Linked DNA regions of Lonchura striata. Each later gene encodes a partner of the first gene's protein in a complex. Links are inferred from orthologs where the notes say so. Each region holds a gene or a part of one and is shown on either strand. Other genes may lie near its edges.

Region 1 (7,250 bases):
GGGATGTGTAAATACTTACAAAGACTTTATGTCCTCATTTCCCCTTCCTCTCCTGTGTTTTAGTTATTTCCAATGGTATAATGGATAGAGCTCACCAGCATTTTGCTTACAGGGGAAACTGGAAACTGCTCAGTGTGTGTGTGTGTGCGCACAGCACAAGCATGTCTGTAAAAAATGTCCCTTTTCTCTGTCACTGAATTGCTTGTGGACTTTTCTTTGACAAGTGCACTGATTGTTACAGCTCCCAAGGAGGCTGAGCAGTGCATTTCTGAGTTGAGGATGATCCCTTGGCTTACAGTACAAATAAATGAAATTTTAAGCAAGCTCTATAATTTGCTAGTTTTCTTTTAAATGCAAGATTTTGTGCTGGTCTGGTTGGGGTAGAGTTTTGTAGGTGTGATGTTTTAGTGTGTGTATACTGGGTTTGACAGCAGGGAACACAGATAAATGTTGCTCTTTTACAGTTTTACTGTAGTGAGAGAGTCTGATATTGGATATAAAGAGACAAATGCATTTAACTTTCCCCAAAGTGCTCGTGTGTCATGCTGCAGCTCCAGCTGTGTTACAGCGAGCATAGATCAGATCAGCATACTTCTCTCAGAGGAAACTGGAGTTTTATCTTTTACTCTTTACTGTTTCTCCATAATGTTTCACTCCTTGGAGGTAATTTAGTATCATTTCCCTTCCCTTCTTGTATGCATTTTTTTGACGTTCTTGTATGGTCACTGCTGTGCTGCCCTTGCTTGTGACACCCCTGTGTGACAGAAGCTCCTGGGCTGTCTGTTCCCAAATCCTGCTGCTGACACTGGTCCCAGCTGGGTGCTGTGTTGGGCTCAGCTCTCTGAAATCAAGAATGGATGGGCAGAGGTGGGCCAGCTGTAAAACACCAGCCTTGTGTGGGTTCTGGGAAGGCTCTGGGTGTGTGGGGAGTGTTACACACTCACAGTCACACTGCTCAGATCCAGGCTTTTTCACTTGGCAAAGTTGGCTCCAGCCAGTATTGCTGTGGGGAGAAGAGAGATTTCCCAAGCTGGGAATAAAGTACAACTAACTGAAAGAAATAAATCTTGACACTTTCTCAACTGTCAGAGAATCCTTTTCTCCTCTCCATCAGGTACAATAAAATGTGATGGTGGTAAATAAAGAGTGAGCACCCTCCAGAGGTGAGATGGGATGGGGCAGTCACCAGGATAGTCCCTTCAGGGAAACATTCCCCACTGCTCTTGGGACAAGTGCTGGGATCAGCCTGCACCTCCCGCTGGCACGAGATAAGGAATTGTTATCTGAGCTTCAAAAGAAAGAGTGATGTTTGGAAGTTTTGCTTTCATTCTGGATCAGAATAAAAACCAAACTGTCAACACTTCCTTTGAAATGAAAATGGAGACAAAACACCAAATTGAGAATCAGCATGGAAGAAGAACAAAGCACTTTGTTAATGTTTTGTTTTGAGGTGAAATATTTTGGTTTGACTTTCACATTTCTGTAAACGTACCTTAATTGTTGCTGTTACTTTGTGAAAACTGCACTATAGCCCAAAAGTGTAGTAATTTCAGTATTAATTTGTATTAATTCTTTCAGTATTAATTGGTAATTAATACTGAAATAATGGCACAGAAATGACATGGCTCTTTATTTTAAAGACCTGTTCTTGTAGAAGCATCTCTTCCGAATCCCCCTGAAAATGTTAATTCCCTCTTGTGAGGGTTAGAACTGTGCACAACAGGTTCACACCTTCTTGGGGTTCACACCTTCAGGGAAAGATCTCCTTCCCATTCTGCTCAGCACTTCCAAAGGGCACCGTGGTTCCTCACACCTGAGGCTCCAGGTGCGAAAACAAGGCTGGTTTTAGTCTGACTGATCCCAAAGTTTGTGGCGTGATGTCAGGAATCTCCTGTCCCAGGGATATCCTGGGAGGAGGGGGTGAAATACAGCTTGGAAAGAAAACTTGGCCAGCCAGTTTGCCACAGGCTCTTGGATTAATAGGAGACAATCCCTGGGGTCCTGCTGGGACCAGTGGCTGAGCCAGGTAAAGCCTGGAATGTTTGTCACATCTGACTATTCCTTGGGTATTTGTGTCTCCTCTGGGTAATCTTTCAAAGAAACAACTCCCACAAATACCATTTTTCTCTTTTCAGCCTCTTTTTTTAAAGCACTCTGTGTGAGCTGTTCTCATCTTTTGATACTCCCAAGTCTTCTGATTTTTTAAAAGCACAATAAAGATGTTTAGTCATTGTCTCAGAGGAGAAACATAATTTGTCTCGAGGTGGCTGTGATATACTTTAAAGAAAAAAACCCAAAACTTTCCTTCTCTGGATGTTTCAGAGATCCATGATTTTTAGTGTCAAGTTATTGTACCATACTCATGTTCTGCAGCTATAAATTTAAACAAACCAAACAAAACCTCTATGCTCCCTTTGATGTGTATTGATGTACAATATTTTCTGAAGACCTAAGTGGGTCTTGAAATATAATATTGTTGTCATTTTCTTATTGTTCTCAGTGGATTCTGCTGCATCTCCCTTGCTTGAATGCTGAATTGAATTGCTACAGATTGTTTCAAAGCACAGCAATCAATTTTGGTTCAAACTGGGTGGAAATACCTTACAAATTGCTGTCACACTTCAGTGAAGGGAAACTGCTTTAAGTCAAGTCGGGTCAGGGATCTCTAGATACCTAATCTAAGCTTCATTACTCAGAGCAGAAGTAGCTGCTGGTCTTACACCACAAATAATTTTAATTATTGATTCATGCCCAAGGGTTGAACAGCCTATAACTCTCAAAAAGTATGTTTTTAAATCTGAAGCATAAATCTTAATGAGGCTTAGTGTAAATTCAGTGGAAGAAACAAACAAAAAAACCAAAAAAAACAACCTGGATTGTAAAACAGCTTCTCATTGTCTTTACCTAGATGTTTAAACCACCACATCTTCCCCAACAAGGTTATTATTCTTATTCTTGGGTCTCAGTGAATACTCCACAAACAGGCTGGGAACTGACACAAAATGAAATCATCCTCTTTGTGTACATTTTTATTACAAGGTGTGTCAAATACCTTACAAGGAGTAATTATAATTTGTTTCATTAATGAAGAAGCTCAGGTGTGATTGCCTCACCCGTTTGCCTGAGATCACACAACAAACCGATGATGAAACTACCTACAAGCTTTTTGTGTCCTAGGATTACTTTTAAATGTTTCAGCTTTGAAAATGGAAGGAAAATGTCATTTGCTGTGAGCTGAACTCTTTCCTAGGTAGTAGAGGGGTTGGGATAGAACCTTTTATCTGCTCTTTGCCAGAAGGAGTGACAGCTCTTTCCTCTGCCAGGGCTTTGCATCCTCAGAGCCAAGAGCTGGCACAGGATGGGCGAGGGGATCATCCATCCCCAGGAGCACAGGGAATATGTGGGAAGGAGGAGAGTGAGCGGAGACCTCACTGGGATGTGCAACATCCTCGTGTTTGGGAGCAGAGGGGACCGGTCCCCATCTCTTTCTTCACTCTCGTGACCAGTGACAAGACTCGAGGGAATGGCATGAAGCTGTCGGGGAGGTTTGGGTGGGATATTAAGAAAAGATTCGTGTCCCAAGACTGTGGTGGGGCACTGCCCAGGCTCCCCAGGGCATGGTCCCAGCCCCAAGGCTTCCAGAGCTCCAGGAGCGCTTGGACAATGCTCAGGGTGGGATTGTTGGGGTGTGTGCGCGGCCAGGAGCTGCACTGCATGGTGGACCCGTTCCAACTGGGGATCTTCTGTGATCTCCTTGAGGTTAAAAAGGCACGTCCTTGCACAAACAGGGACTTGGGGAGGGCAGGAGGAGCGCGGTCACCCTCAGTCAGAAAGCGAGGAGGAAAGCACGAGAGCTCTCTGAGGGGCCGGCGCGTGAAGGGGAAACGGCTCCGCGTGGCCTGCCGCGAGGATCCGCAGGGCAGGGCCGGCATGAGGAGGACGATCACCCGCGGCCGGCAAGCCAGCCGCGAGCCGCCCTCAGCCCGCCCGAGCCCTTCCCGCCGCTTTTCCCGCCGCCGTTCCCGCCGCTCCCTCACGGCCGCCGGCCCCGCCCATTGGCCCCGCCCCGCCCACGCGCCCCGCCCATTGGCTCCGCCCCGAGGCTCCGCCCATTGTCTCCGCCCATTGGCTCCGCCCCCGGCGGGCGGGGCCGCGGGGCCGCGCACGGGCACGGCGCGGGCGCCATGTTGGAGCGTCGCTGAGCGCGGGGTGCTGCTGAGAGCGCGACCCGGTCTGCGCGGGACTGGGGCGGGGGAGCCGCGCCGAGCCGCGGGGGAATCGCCCGGGCGGACCATGGACGTCGAGAGGCTGCAGGAGGCGCTGAAAGGTGGCGGCCAGGCTGGTGGCGGGGGCTGGGGGAGCGGTGTCGCCGCGCTGAGGGGAAGGCTGAGGTTCCTCAGAGCCTGTGGGGGGAGCGCCCCTCGCTGAGGGCGAAGGGTCCCCGCGCTGTGGGGAGGGAGCTGCTCGCTGTGAGGGGTCCCGCAGAGTGGGGAGAGGCCAGGAGTCGTGGGGAAGTGGAGGGCAGAGCCCGCGGTCTCCCTGCCCAGCGACCCTCGGGGCTGCGTGAGGGGGATCAGCGACTCTCGGCTCTGCCCGGCTGCCGCCCTGGACACCCCGGTCCGGCCGCCCCTTCTCCCTCATTCCTGCCCCTTCCCCCGCATCCCGGCCCCTTCCCCCGCATCCCGGCCCAGCCCGGACCTGTCCCCTTCTCCCTCCGCAGCCCTCTCTCTTCTGGGCTCAGCTTGAGCAAATCGCTCTCTTTCTGTGCCGTAGCTGCTCGGAAGAAGTTGCAAATCAACTTTTGCTACTCTGCTGCGTGCGGTTTCTCCGCAGGAAAAATAATAAGTGTTTCCCAGGGCTGAGGAGCTGGTGGAGTTCATGGGAACAGCCGGGGCATTGTGAGAGCACAACAGTGTTTTTGTGGGAGCTGTACTGATAGTTCAAGCAAATCGCTAATTATTGTGAATTTTTGTTCTGTCCCATCTTCATTTACCATTCTTTTTGTGTCGTTCTCATGCCAACAGATTTTGAGAAGAGAGGAAAGAAGGAAGTGTGTCCAATACTGGATCAGTTTCTTTGTCATGTTGCTAAGACTGGAGAGACGATGTAAGTGTGACTGTTTTGGTGGTCCTCAGTCGTGACTTAAAACAATTCTTGCATTTTACGTCATTGAGATTCTACCAGGATTCTTTTTTTTGCCTGTAGGTTGCTTCAGTGGGCTAAATAAGCTTTCCTCAGTTCCCATTTAATTTTGTATTGATTAATTTAGTTTGCTGATAGTTTGATCTAACGAGGGGAGACTTCTCGTATAGGCTTTGCTCTGATGTGCCTGTCAGGTCTTACTGATCCTACTCAGCACAATAAAAAACCTGTTGCTTTCCCTGGATTTTTGAGAGAGATTCAGGTTTTGTATGTTACAAGTTAAGCTGCTGTTGCAATGTTTTCTATACACTGTTGTATAACTGTGTTTGCAGTATCTACATTGTGTTATTTACATAAAGATTGCAGTCGCTCACATTGTTTCTTTCTGGGCTCTGTAACCATCCTGTGACTGTCTGGGCGCTGCTGCTGAAGCGGGGACGATCCGGAGGCGCTTTTGCGGACGGGGATGTGTGGGAACCGCGGGGAGCGCCGTGTTTTTCCCTGGTGCGGAGGGAATTTCCCTCGTGCCGCCCTTTGCGGCCGCTTTCCCGGAGCTTTCCCGGGAGGCAGCGGAGGGAGCCGCGCTCCTTGCGGGGCTCGCTGCTGGTGACTTCCTTGCGGCTCACTATCTGGCAGGAAGGGGAAAGGCTTCCCGGCTGCGCTGCCGGATTCGTGCTCACTTTCTGGCGCCCGGGCTGTCTCCTTGTTTTTGAGGCCTAGTGCCAGACTACGGCTCCAGCAGGGAGATATGCTTTTACGAGTGTTTTGTGATCAACCACCGACCCGCAGGGGCTTTGTTTGAGTTTCGAGAGTCCCGCCAACTTATTAGAGGTTCTGGTGATTTTTTTTTTTTTGGTAGCTTGCTAGTGCTGCTTGGATTAATGGTTTAGAAAGAAAAACAAGTTCTGAAATGTACTTTGCTCTTTGAATAGAAGGCTCATGCTCAGCAGACATACACAGCTGTAATGCTTCATGTTTTGGTGTAGTACTTATTATACAGAAAAAATACACCACAGTAAGCCCATACTAAAATATGTTTAAAATATTTTTTCCCATTCTGAGGTATTTCTTCAGGTTGTTTTTACTGTTTCTGCCATTATCATGTATATTCCAAAGTATTTTTTAAAAAGTGATTCTATAGGGCCAAATTATTGGGAAAATTGTATCCTTTCTGATTTTATTTTCATTTAGGAAATCTAGGTTTATTTTTATTATTTTTATTTTATTTTTACAAACTTAAACCTCAGCTGGAGTCTGTAATCTGATATACAGATCCTGCCTTCTGTGTTTCCAGGGTTTTCTTGCAATTTTTTTTTTTTATATAGTTTTTTTAAAAGGTGTTGGATGTGAACATCAGAAATGCCTAATATAATCTGGAGATAGGCATGGAAATACTGTTTTATAATACTGTATTTGCTTCAGATTATCTGCCAGAGTCAGTATTTGGTCATCAGACATGTGTTCATCAGACTGATGTGTTATGTATCACAATATCAGGGGGAAAAGTGAGTAAAAATTAAAATCTCCTGGAAATCACTCATATGAAGATTACTAACGTGCCTTTTAAGAGCTTAATGTATTTTTAAGCTGGTACAGCTTGACAAGTACAAGTGTTCTGGAATAGGCAAACCTACCAAATACATGCAAATTTAAAATGCACTAGATAATCTTTATTTTGACTTATGTAAAAACAACTTTGTTGAATAGAATCTAAGCCAGTAATAAATAGATACTTTGGAGTGAGAAAATAAAATACTCGTTTGTAGTGACATTTGTTAGGATTTTTACAAAGTCAGAGTATAGTTAAAAAAAACAAAACAAGCAGGGATGATGGTTTAGTCAGGGGTAATTACACCCATGGTTTGCAGACTTGATTATTGAACAATGATCTTACTCAGTCACAGCCTGTTCCTAATGTAACAAACAAAAAGTACTGAGGCAAATCAGGACAAGTGAAATGTGAAATATTTTTGTGTTCAGTTGTTAGTTCTAGGAGAGTTACATGGTCTTCATAGGAGTTCTGTCAGCTTTTTAATTTCATCACAAATGCTGATTTTTAGAAGATAAACTGCAGTCTCTATCCTGGGGTGAATGCTCTCATCCTCCAT
Region 2 (7,967 bases), on another chromosome or scaffold:
ACGATTAATCAGTTGTAGTTTCAGGAAACAGGGTGTGAAAGGAAGCATTTTAAAACTTTACAGCAACAAATCTGCATTTGTATTTCACTGTGTATAGGTTTCCTCTAGTAAACAGGAAGCAGTTCAAGACTCTTGGCTTCTGGAGCTCTGCAGAGCTCCTTCTTTAGCATGACCCCCCCCAGTGAAAGCCTACACCTACCAACCCCTAACAAGTGAACACCAGAAACCACAGCAAACACCCCCTGGAAAGACTGGCCCAAAACTCCACCTCATGCCTAACCTAAAATGAGCCAACCAATGTCTACAAGATAAAAAGTCTCTTTCTCAAATTCTTACACTGTAACTTGTCACTATAACAAAATCCTCAGAGATGTGTCCCTCTGTGACTTGGGAAGAACAAAATTACTGTTTTTTACAGTGCTGAAACACTTCTGGATACCATAACGATGAAGAACAAGTATCAAACACTGAAGGAACTGAGACTCTACTGTAGAGCAAAGAAACAGTGAGAAAAAATTCCAGAAAACCCATGAGAACAATGCAGGCAGAGCCATCAAAAATGCATGCTGAAAAAGGGAAAACAATAAAAGCAGAAGAGATTCAGTAAGCTGATTTTTTTTCAATGGATGAAACAAAAATAACTTATCAACACAGCTCTCAACTATTTTACTTCATTGTCTTGCAGGAGGTTTACCCCTAGGAAAGGTAACTTTCACCATGGCTTGTGGCCTTACCTAGGACAACAGGAGCTTTCAGGGCTTCAAATAAAAACTAAACAGCAACAACAAAGAAAGAAATCCCACAAAGACAAATTCCTTCATGTTATTTCCAGAAAAATAACTCAATCAATAAATAAATACACTTCAACAGAGCTGGTCAAAGTTTTGCCTCCCTAATTTTAATTATTTCAGATAATTTTAATTATTTCAGGCCTGGCATGGGAGACAAAAGTTATACATACATGTTTCCAACTATCTTTCCTGTAATGATTTCAATGTCTCTTCAAATTGCATATATTATCTTCAAAGTCTGAAGTCCAAAAAGTATTTTTCTAGAAGACACACATATTAATTTCTAGAATGTGAAGTGTTCAGCACCGACAGGCTTCTAAGCAATTTTTTTACCATCAACAATTGCATGTCCTCCTGCTTTTCCTTTTTTCCTGAAAAAATGCAATTACTCTGAGCACAAAACAATTCCTCAGCATCAGCAACCAGAGAAAGTAAAGCCTAGCAATACTTGCCTGCTGTTTTTGATATGCAGTATTTGGATTTATCTTCGATTCTAACAGTAGTGAACCTGAAAAAGGTACGAAGAGAGATTTACTGAATCCAACAAAACAAACATCTCCACACACCTCGCACCAATGCCCACGTGCCAGCCAACAGACTCTCAGCTTAATCCAAATCTCACAGAAAATCCGTAAGAACCACCTCCTTTAAATATAATTTCCTAAAATAAGCCAGATAAGACAAAATTCAACAGGAAGATCCCTATTAAAATACATTTTTCTCTTCTAGTTTATTCCAAAATCCACTGTAGCACTCTTTTCCTTCTGAAATCTGGTGCAAGCACCAGATTTTTTAGTGGTCTTTTAGGCCAACTAATGCAAATTCCAGCAGGTAATGTGCTGCCCAGCATAAAAAATGCTTTTGTCCAGAGAAGCCACATGGGCCACTTGCTTTTATTCCCTTCAGCTGCCCTTCAGAGGTAAATCATCCAGCTACTACAAATGCAGGGACTTCATCTTGTGTATGCAAGTAGTGTATGTCTCCTGGCAACAGCTCTAGAGCAATTTATACTAATCTTAGGTGGTTTATTTAGCACATTAGCACCTGTCTGCTGACAAAGTGGGGAGCATATACCTCCCCGCTCTAAAAAAAGACCCTTTAAGGTGACTTTAAAGTGCAATAAAACACAAGGGATGCCACCCGACTGGAATACAACCAGGGAATTCCTGAGGAGAAAAAGGGCAGCAAAACAACTTCTTCACAGCAGTAAGAAATGGAAGACTAGAACACCTCAAAAGCAAAGGCTATTGCTCTGAAAGAGAACAAAATGTCCTCACATGTCACAGCTTCATCTCTGTTCAGGCTGGGGAGCTGCATGGAGCTGAGTCAGGGAAGGTTTAGGATGGACATCAAGGAAAGGTTCTTCCCCCAGAGGGTGGTCAGGCACTGCCCAGGCACTGCCCAGGCTCCCCAGGAAATGGTCCTGAGGCTGCCAGAGCTGCAGAAGCGCCTGAACAACCCTCTCAGGCACAGGGTGGGATTGTTGGGAGGTCTGTGCAGGGCCAGGAGCTGGACTTTGATGATCCTGATGGGTCCCTTCCAGCTCATAATTCTATCAACTGGGAGGGGAAAAGTCTAGGACCACAGTAGCAAACGCTGCTATGGCTTATGTGGTAAGGAAACTTCACGCGAGCTGCAAGACAAGGGAAGGCACGGAGAGTAGAAATAATAACAACAACAACAGTAATCCTCGTGCGTGATCCAAGGGAAGGCACTATCAGCCGAGCCCGGCGATGGCGGGCGGCAGCCCCGGCGGTGGGGCCCGAGCCGGGCGGGGGGCGAGGGGAAGCGGCCTGGGCAGCCCCGGCCACGCTCTCACCGTCTGACTCGGCGCGCACCAGCAGCGACATCCCCTTCAGCCGCTCCACGTAGCTGGAGGAGACGTGCCCGGTGCCCCTGTCGTCCCATTGCCGATCCTCGTTGAGCGTGTAGACCTTCACCCGCCGGCGGGTGTCCGACATGGTGCAGCCCCGGGCCCGCTCCGCCTCCGCGGGGGCGATGGAGCGAGGGCGGCGGAGAGCAAGCGGGGCCGCCGGGCCGCTCAGAGGCACCGCGGGGCCTTTAACGCGCCGCTTCCCATGGCGAGTCAGCGCCGCCGCGCCCCGGCCCGGGCCTTGCTGGCGCCGCTCCGCCTCGGCAGCTACTACAGCGCCGCCGCCATCTTGTAACCCGGCTCGGGCCGCCTTTCTCTTCCTCCCCGCCCGGGCACGGGTTCCCCTCGCAGGGGCTACGGCGGCCGCGCGCTGCCGCCGCGCCGCCGACGGGACGGCGGCCACGGGGGCGGGGCCGCGCGCGCTCCTTCAGGCGCCGAGGCGGGAACGGGAGGTGGGGATAAAATGGCGGCTGCCGACCGCCGCAGGGGATATGGGCGCATCACTTGCCTTTTAACGCCCTAAAGGGGGAATTGCTCACATATTCCCCCGAAAAAAACTAATTTTTTTAAAAAATTCTTCGTTTTTTTCTTTTTCTTTTTTTTAAGTCTGTCTAAAGGCTGGCGCCACCGCTGACGAAACACGCCTCCGTCCCTCACGCCACAGAAAGTGCCACCCACGGCCGTCACACAAAATGACGGGCGCGCTCCATACCCGACCAGGGTAAATTTAAACAGCACACAGAACTGAAACAGTTTCAATTTTTAGGAACAAAAGGTGTCCCCTGCATCACAAAACGGCAAAAAGTTAGTGAGCAGCAACTCCTTACAGCAGCAGCCATACTGTAACACGCTGTCTGTGCCTGCTTGGTACATCTCCACAGAAGGCTTGAAAGCTAAACTGCTGGGGAATCTTCAAAAATGAGAGAAACGTGCTTAATTAGCTCTTATACACAGCATACAGTTTAACACAGACCACTTGCCAAGCATCGCGGAGTCCGTACCTGTTAAGTTTTTCACACTAAAAACCATCTACACGTTTCCTCTGTACAACAAATAAATAATTACATCTCCGTGCTTGCGTGGGAATAAGGAAAAACGACCCAAAAGTTTTCAAGGAGTAAAGCTGTGTGAAACAGTGAGAAACTGGGGACAAGGGGAAGCTTGAGTGTGTCTCCAAACCAAATTCTTGAAGCTCTGAAGAGGAAGGAGGGAGGACAAGTTCTCCTGAGGGCAGGGTGTGCCTCATTCCCAGACAAAGTCAGACTTTCCTGGCTCTTGCCTCACGGTGAAAGCAGTTACACCGGTATGGCCCTTATTCACACGACTGGCATTTCTATGCTCTCAAATTCAAATGTGGCTCCAAAGCAAGCGAAAGAAAGTGCTTCCCAAACTATGTCCTCAAAGTAACTACCTGCAGCTTTTCCAAACATTCTCTGGGCAGATTAAAAAAACTTAACATCTAAGTAACATTCAAGTCTCAGCTTTTGCTCTGATGTTCATTGTAGCAGTCACCAAGAAAATACAAGATACAACTCTTAGAATTTTAATATACATTTATGTTTAGCTGTATAGGAGCACACCTTGGGACATGTGCATCATTATGGGTAAGTGAGTCAGTAACTATAAAAAGACCGTGTTAAGTGGTTTCAAAATCCTGGACTGAGAGTCACATGAACCAGTTTACAGTCAGGTTCCACACAAGCCTTCCTCACAAGGCATTACAAACTGAGCATATTTCTACCTTGGAGAAAGCTCAATAAAAAGCAAACACACAAATAGGAACACAAACCCCAATGACCACAACATATTTCTGCCTCAGGACATCTGCTGCTCATGAACTCCCTCTCCCCTCTGCATGACTTCTGTGCGTGCTTTTTGGCTCTTCAAATCAAATGCACAAAAATAAAAGCATGACTCCTACTAATGACTAAATGCAGCACTTCTCGGGATATATAAAACAGCAAGAAACCACAGCATAGTATTTTGGAGCAAATTCTTATGGTGAATTACAGAAAGGAGGTATGCGCATCAGAACTAGCATGAAAAACTATTTCTTACACTTCAGCTGTGAAATAAATCTATGATCTCTCCAGGCATGAATTCAATGACTTCTGTGGAAAATATCACTCCAGAAGTCATTGGGATTGTGCTCACTCAGATGTGGGGCTTCTCTCTACCCAAAACAGCATCCAGGGGGTTGTAAAGCCCAGGATGACCCTGCCATTGGTACCCAGAACCAGCAAGTCAATTCTGGGGGCCTTTCCTGGACAAAACATGCAATACTTGCCCCAACAAATGTTACATACTGCATTTAAACCCAGGCTAAGACCAGGAAAGCATCCAAGCCTCTGCTCTTTAAGACAAAGCAAAGCAACATTTTCCACAGTGCACCTGCCAGCAGCTCATCATCCCCATTACCACCATCAAGTTATCAATGCTGAGAATTCTCTGTTCTTCATCAAAGCAAAGGATTTCGTTAGGGTGGACAGAAGACAGAGCAACTCACAAGTGTCACTACATGAGCTGTGGAATGCCTTTTTTTGTTTTCCCAAGCAAGATGGGCAATTAATTCCTAAATAATTTAAAATTTCTTAGAGTGAAATTAAGAGACTGTATCATTCCCTCTGGCAGGTGATCCCAGAAGTACAATTAGGCCAGCTCTTACACTTTTATGATAGTACTTGTAATATATATTGTTGACATTTGAAGACACACCAGCTCCTGACTCTTTGCACTTGCACGAAAATTTCAGACTTGTCAAATAAAAGGCATTTCTGGCCCTCCTGAGCTGTTGCAATGCTGCACCTGCCCAGCTTCTCTCCAAGGCAATTTCTCTCAATGGCTCCATTTAAGACAGGTCATTACAGAAGCTAATTATGTTGAGCAGTAAGAAAGAAGAAATAAATCACTGAGCTTGTTCTCTTGAGCACTCTGGACTCACCTGGTTTCTGATCATAGCTGATCCCACCTGAGAGTCAAGCTCCTCCTGCCACGGCCCTGCACCGGCTCTAGGAGAGCCTGGGATGTCCTTCCCTCCAGGAAGGGTCAGAGCAGCACACGCTTACTCAACTCTTGGCTGCCATTGAGCTTCTCTCCTCAGGTAAGAGCAGCTGCTTTCTGCTCCTCCCAGCCAGCTCCCAAGTGTGCTCTTCCCCCGCCCCTTCCCACAGGGCCTAAAGCTGGTTCCAGATGCAGAAAGTCAGGCTGACTGTACAGGTTCTGCCACAGCAACATTAAGGTAATTTTGCTCCTTTATCATCATCCACCAAACAGACAATGCCCCAGCACTGCAGTAGCTGCTTTACTGAGACCAGCTCCACAACACAGCCTCTCAGAAATTAGTCTACAATAAGGGGAGATAAACCTTGGAAATCCACTTAGATTGGGGAGGTCCATTTCTGGGAAGAGTCACCAGAAATGGCAACATCTGAGTTTCTGTTCAGGGACTTTAACATTGACCTACATAATTTTATTAACACTATTCATATGTAACAATCATGTATCAGTCAACTGTCACAGTAAGAAGTGACATCTGAATTCTTACTAAGAAATAATAAGACACAGCCTTCAAAGAGGAAGAAAAGATTGCCAAAGAAATCTTTCGTCAATCTTTCCAAACTTTTTCTATTTTTCAATCTTACATCATGAAAGACAGGAACAACTACAGAGCAGCATACCAGTAATTTCTTTCTTTAATATTTAAGTTAGAATTAAAAAAGGAGTAATTTTTTACTGTACATTCCCACTTCTCTCCCCCATGCTTTATTTTTTCTTTCAGGTGGTTCAGAGCCCACCTGCCACCAGGTGGGAAGTTGATTTTATTAGTCCTGCATACAAATTGGTGAACATCAGAAGGACCCTGTTTGATTTTCAAAGTCTGTACCTCACAGTAGAAAAACGAGTCACTCTCATGAGCCCCTGGGAAATGTTTTGAAGTCTAAAATAAATCAGTGAACTCACTGATGCAATGTAATTAATAGGACTAAGAAATTCTTAATGAGAGTGTTTCAGGGAAAGATTTATCACATAATTGTTCATTCCAAAAAAAGTATTTTAATTTTAATGTTTTAATTATGCATTTTAAAAGTCAGTGCTAATGAACCCAGGTGATAAGGGGTGATGTTTCAGCCAAGTTCTGCTCACATATGCTGAGATATATTCTGCTACAGGTCTGAACATTTTAAGAGTGATGTATTAATCTAAAACAGAGTCCATCATGTTAAAGGTGACACTTCTAAGTCTTTATGACTTGCTCAACATTCTTGTGCACTGAAAAGCCAATAAAACTTTGGCCAAGTGTGACTCTTGACCAAGCATACAGGATAATTCTTTCTCCCACAGAAGAGTTGTTCAGTTCTTACTTCTCATATTCACAGTTTTGAGTGGATAACTCAAAGGAGAATAACCTTTAGCACTGAAATATCTTCTCAGTCTACAGAATTCCATGTTCTTGTATTCTCATCTCAACCTTGCTACACAAGATGAGGGCACTGCTTGCTCCTGGTTTTATTTTCAAGTTTTTAATCAACTTGAAGGCCTTGACGTTCTACATCACCTTTAAGCATAAATAAGTATCTATTTTATAAATATGATTTACTACCATCCACCTTCAGATTCTTGTGAGGACATGTAGAAATTCTAGCAAAGGTCACTTGTATTTTCACCATCACACCTTTTTTCCTGAAAGAAAGAAAACACTTTGTAACCAATTCATTATATCAAGGTATGAGATTCAAAGATGTTCCTTAAAACTGAGATTCAGTGAATTTTCCCTTCTTTTTGTGCTGTCAATCATTCCTAGAAGGTTGCCACAGATTGCCTTGAGTTCCTACTGGTGCACTGTGCATTTGCCAAGCTTGCTAACTGCTCCTGATTTTAACATCAGACACCTTCCTGTTCTAGCAGCTTTCCAAGAACAAGAAAACTCACATAAATTTTGGGAAAAGCTGAGGCATAAGCCCTCTAACAGTCAAATACATGCTGGAAAACTACTTCTAAGGAAGAGCTTTGGCCATTTCATTAATTGACTGAAATCTTCTCTACTGTTGACTTAATCAGGAAAGCAACTTATTTTTTCTTCTCTTCCAATGCCCTCTTTGGGCTTTTTTCTTTAAAAGGTAGAGAAAAAGGATCTTGGAATTGAATAAGTAAGTTTGTTTAGGACAGAGAAGCCTGTCCAGATTGCCAGAGACCATCAAGGCATTTGAACCAATTTTATAATATCAAACCTTCTACAACTGCAGTGTGTGAAGGGCTGGTTGTTAAGTCCCAACTAACTCCAACACAGCTGCCAAGTAGTCCCT

The links.
Region 2: PPP4R2 (region 1) and PPP4R3B share a complex: the UniProt entries of both Homo sapiens proteins name them as parts of the PP4 complex. The link is inferred for Lonchura striata from reciprocal best matches to the Homo sapiens genes PPP4R2 and PPP4R3B.

What each region holds. Positions count from the first base shown.
Region 1 is NC_134614.1:20,820,782-20,828,031, forward strand, and holds the start of PPP4R2 (serine/threonine-protein phosphatase 4 regulatory subunit 2), read left to right. Parts: upstream 1-4,149; 5' UTR 4,150-4,293; coding exon 4,294-4,327; intron 4,328-5,024; coding exon 5,025-5,106; intron 5,107-7,250. UniProt on the Homo sapiens protein: Regulatory subunit of serine/threonine-protein phosphatase 4 (PP4). May regulate the activity of PPP4C at centrosomal microtubule organizing centers.
Region 2 is NC_134605.1:27,036,611-27,044,577, reverse strand, and holds the start of PPP4R3B (serine/threonine-protein phosphatase 4 regulatory subunit 3B), read right to left. Parts: upstream 3,001-7,967; 5' UTR 2,753-3,000; coding exon 2,611-2,752; intron 1,300-2,610; coding exon 1,244-1,299; intron 1-1,243. UniProt on the Homo sapiens protein: Regulatory subunit of serine/threonine-protein phosphatase 4 (PP4). May regulate the activity of PPP4C at centrosomal microtubule organizing centers.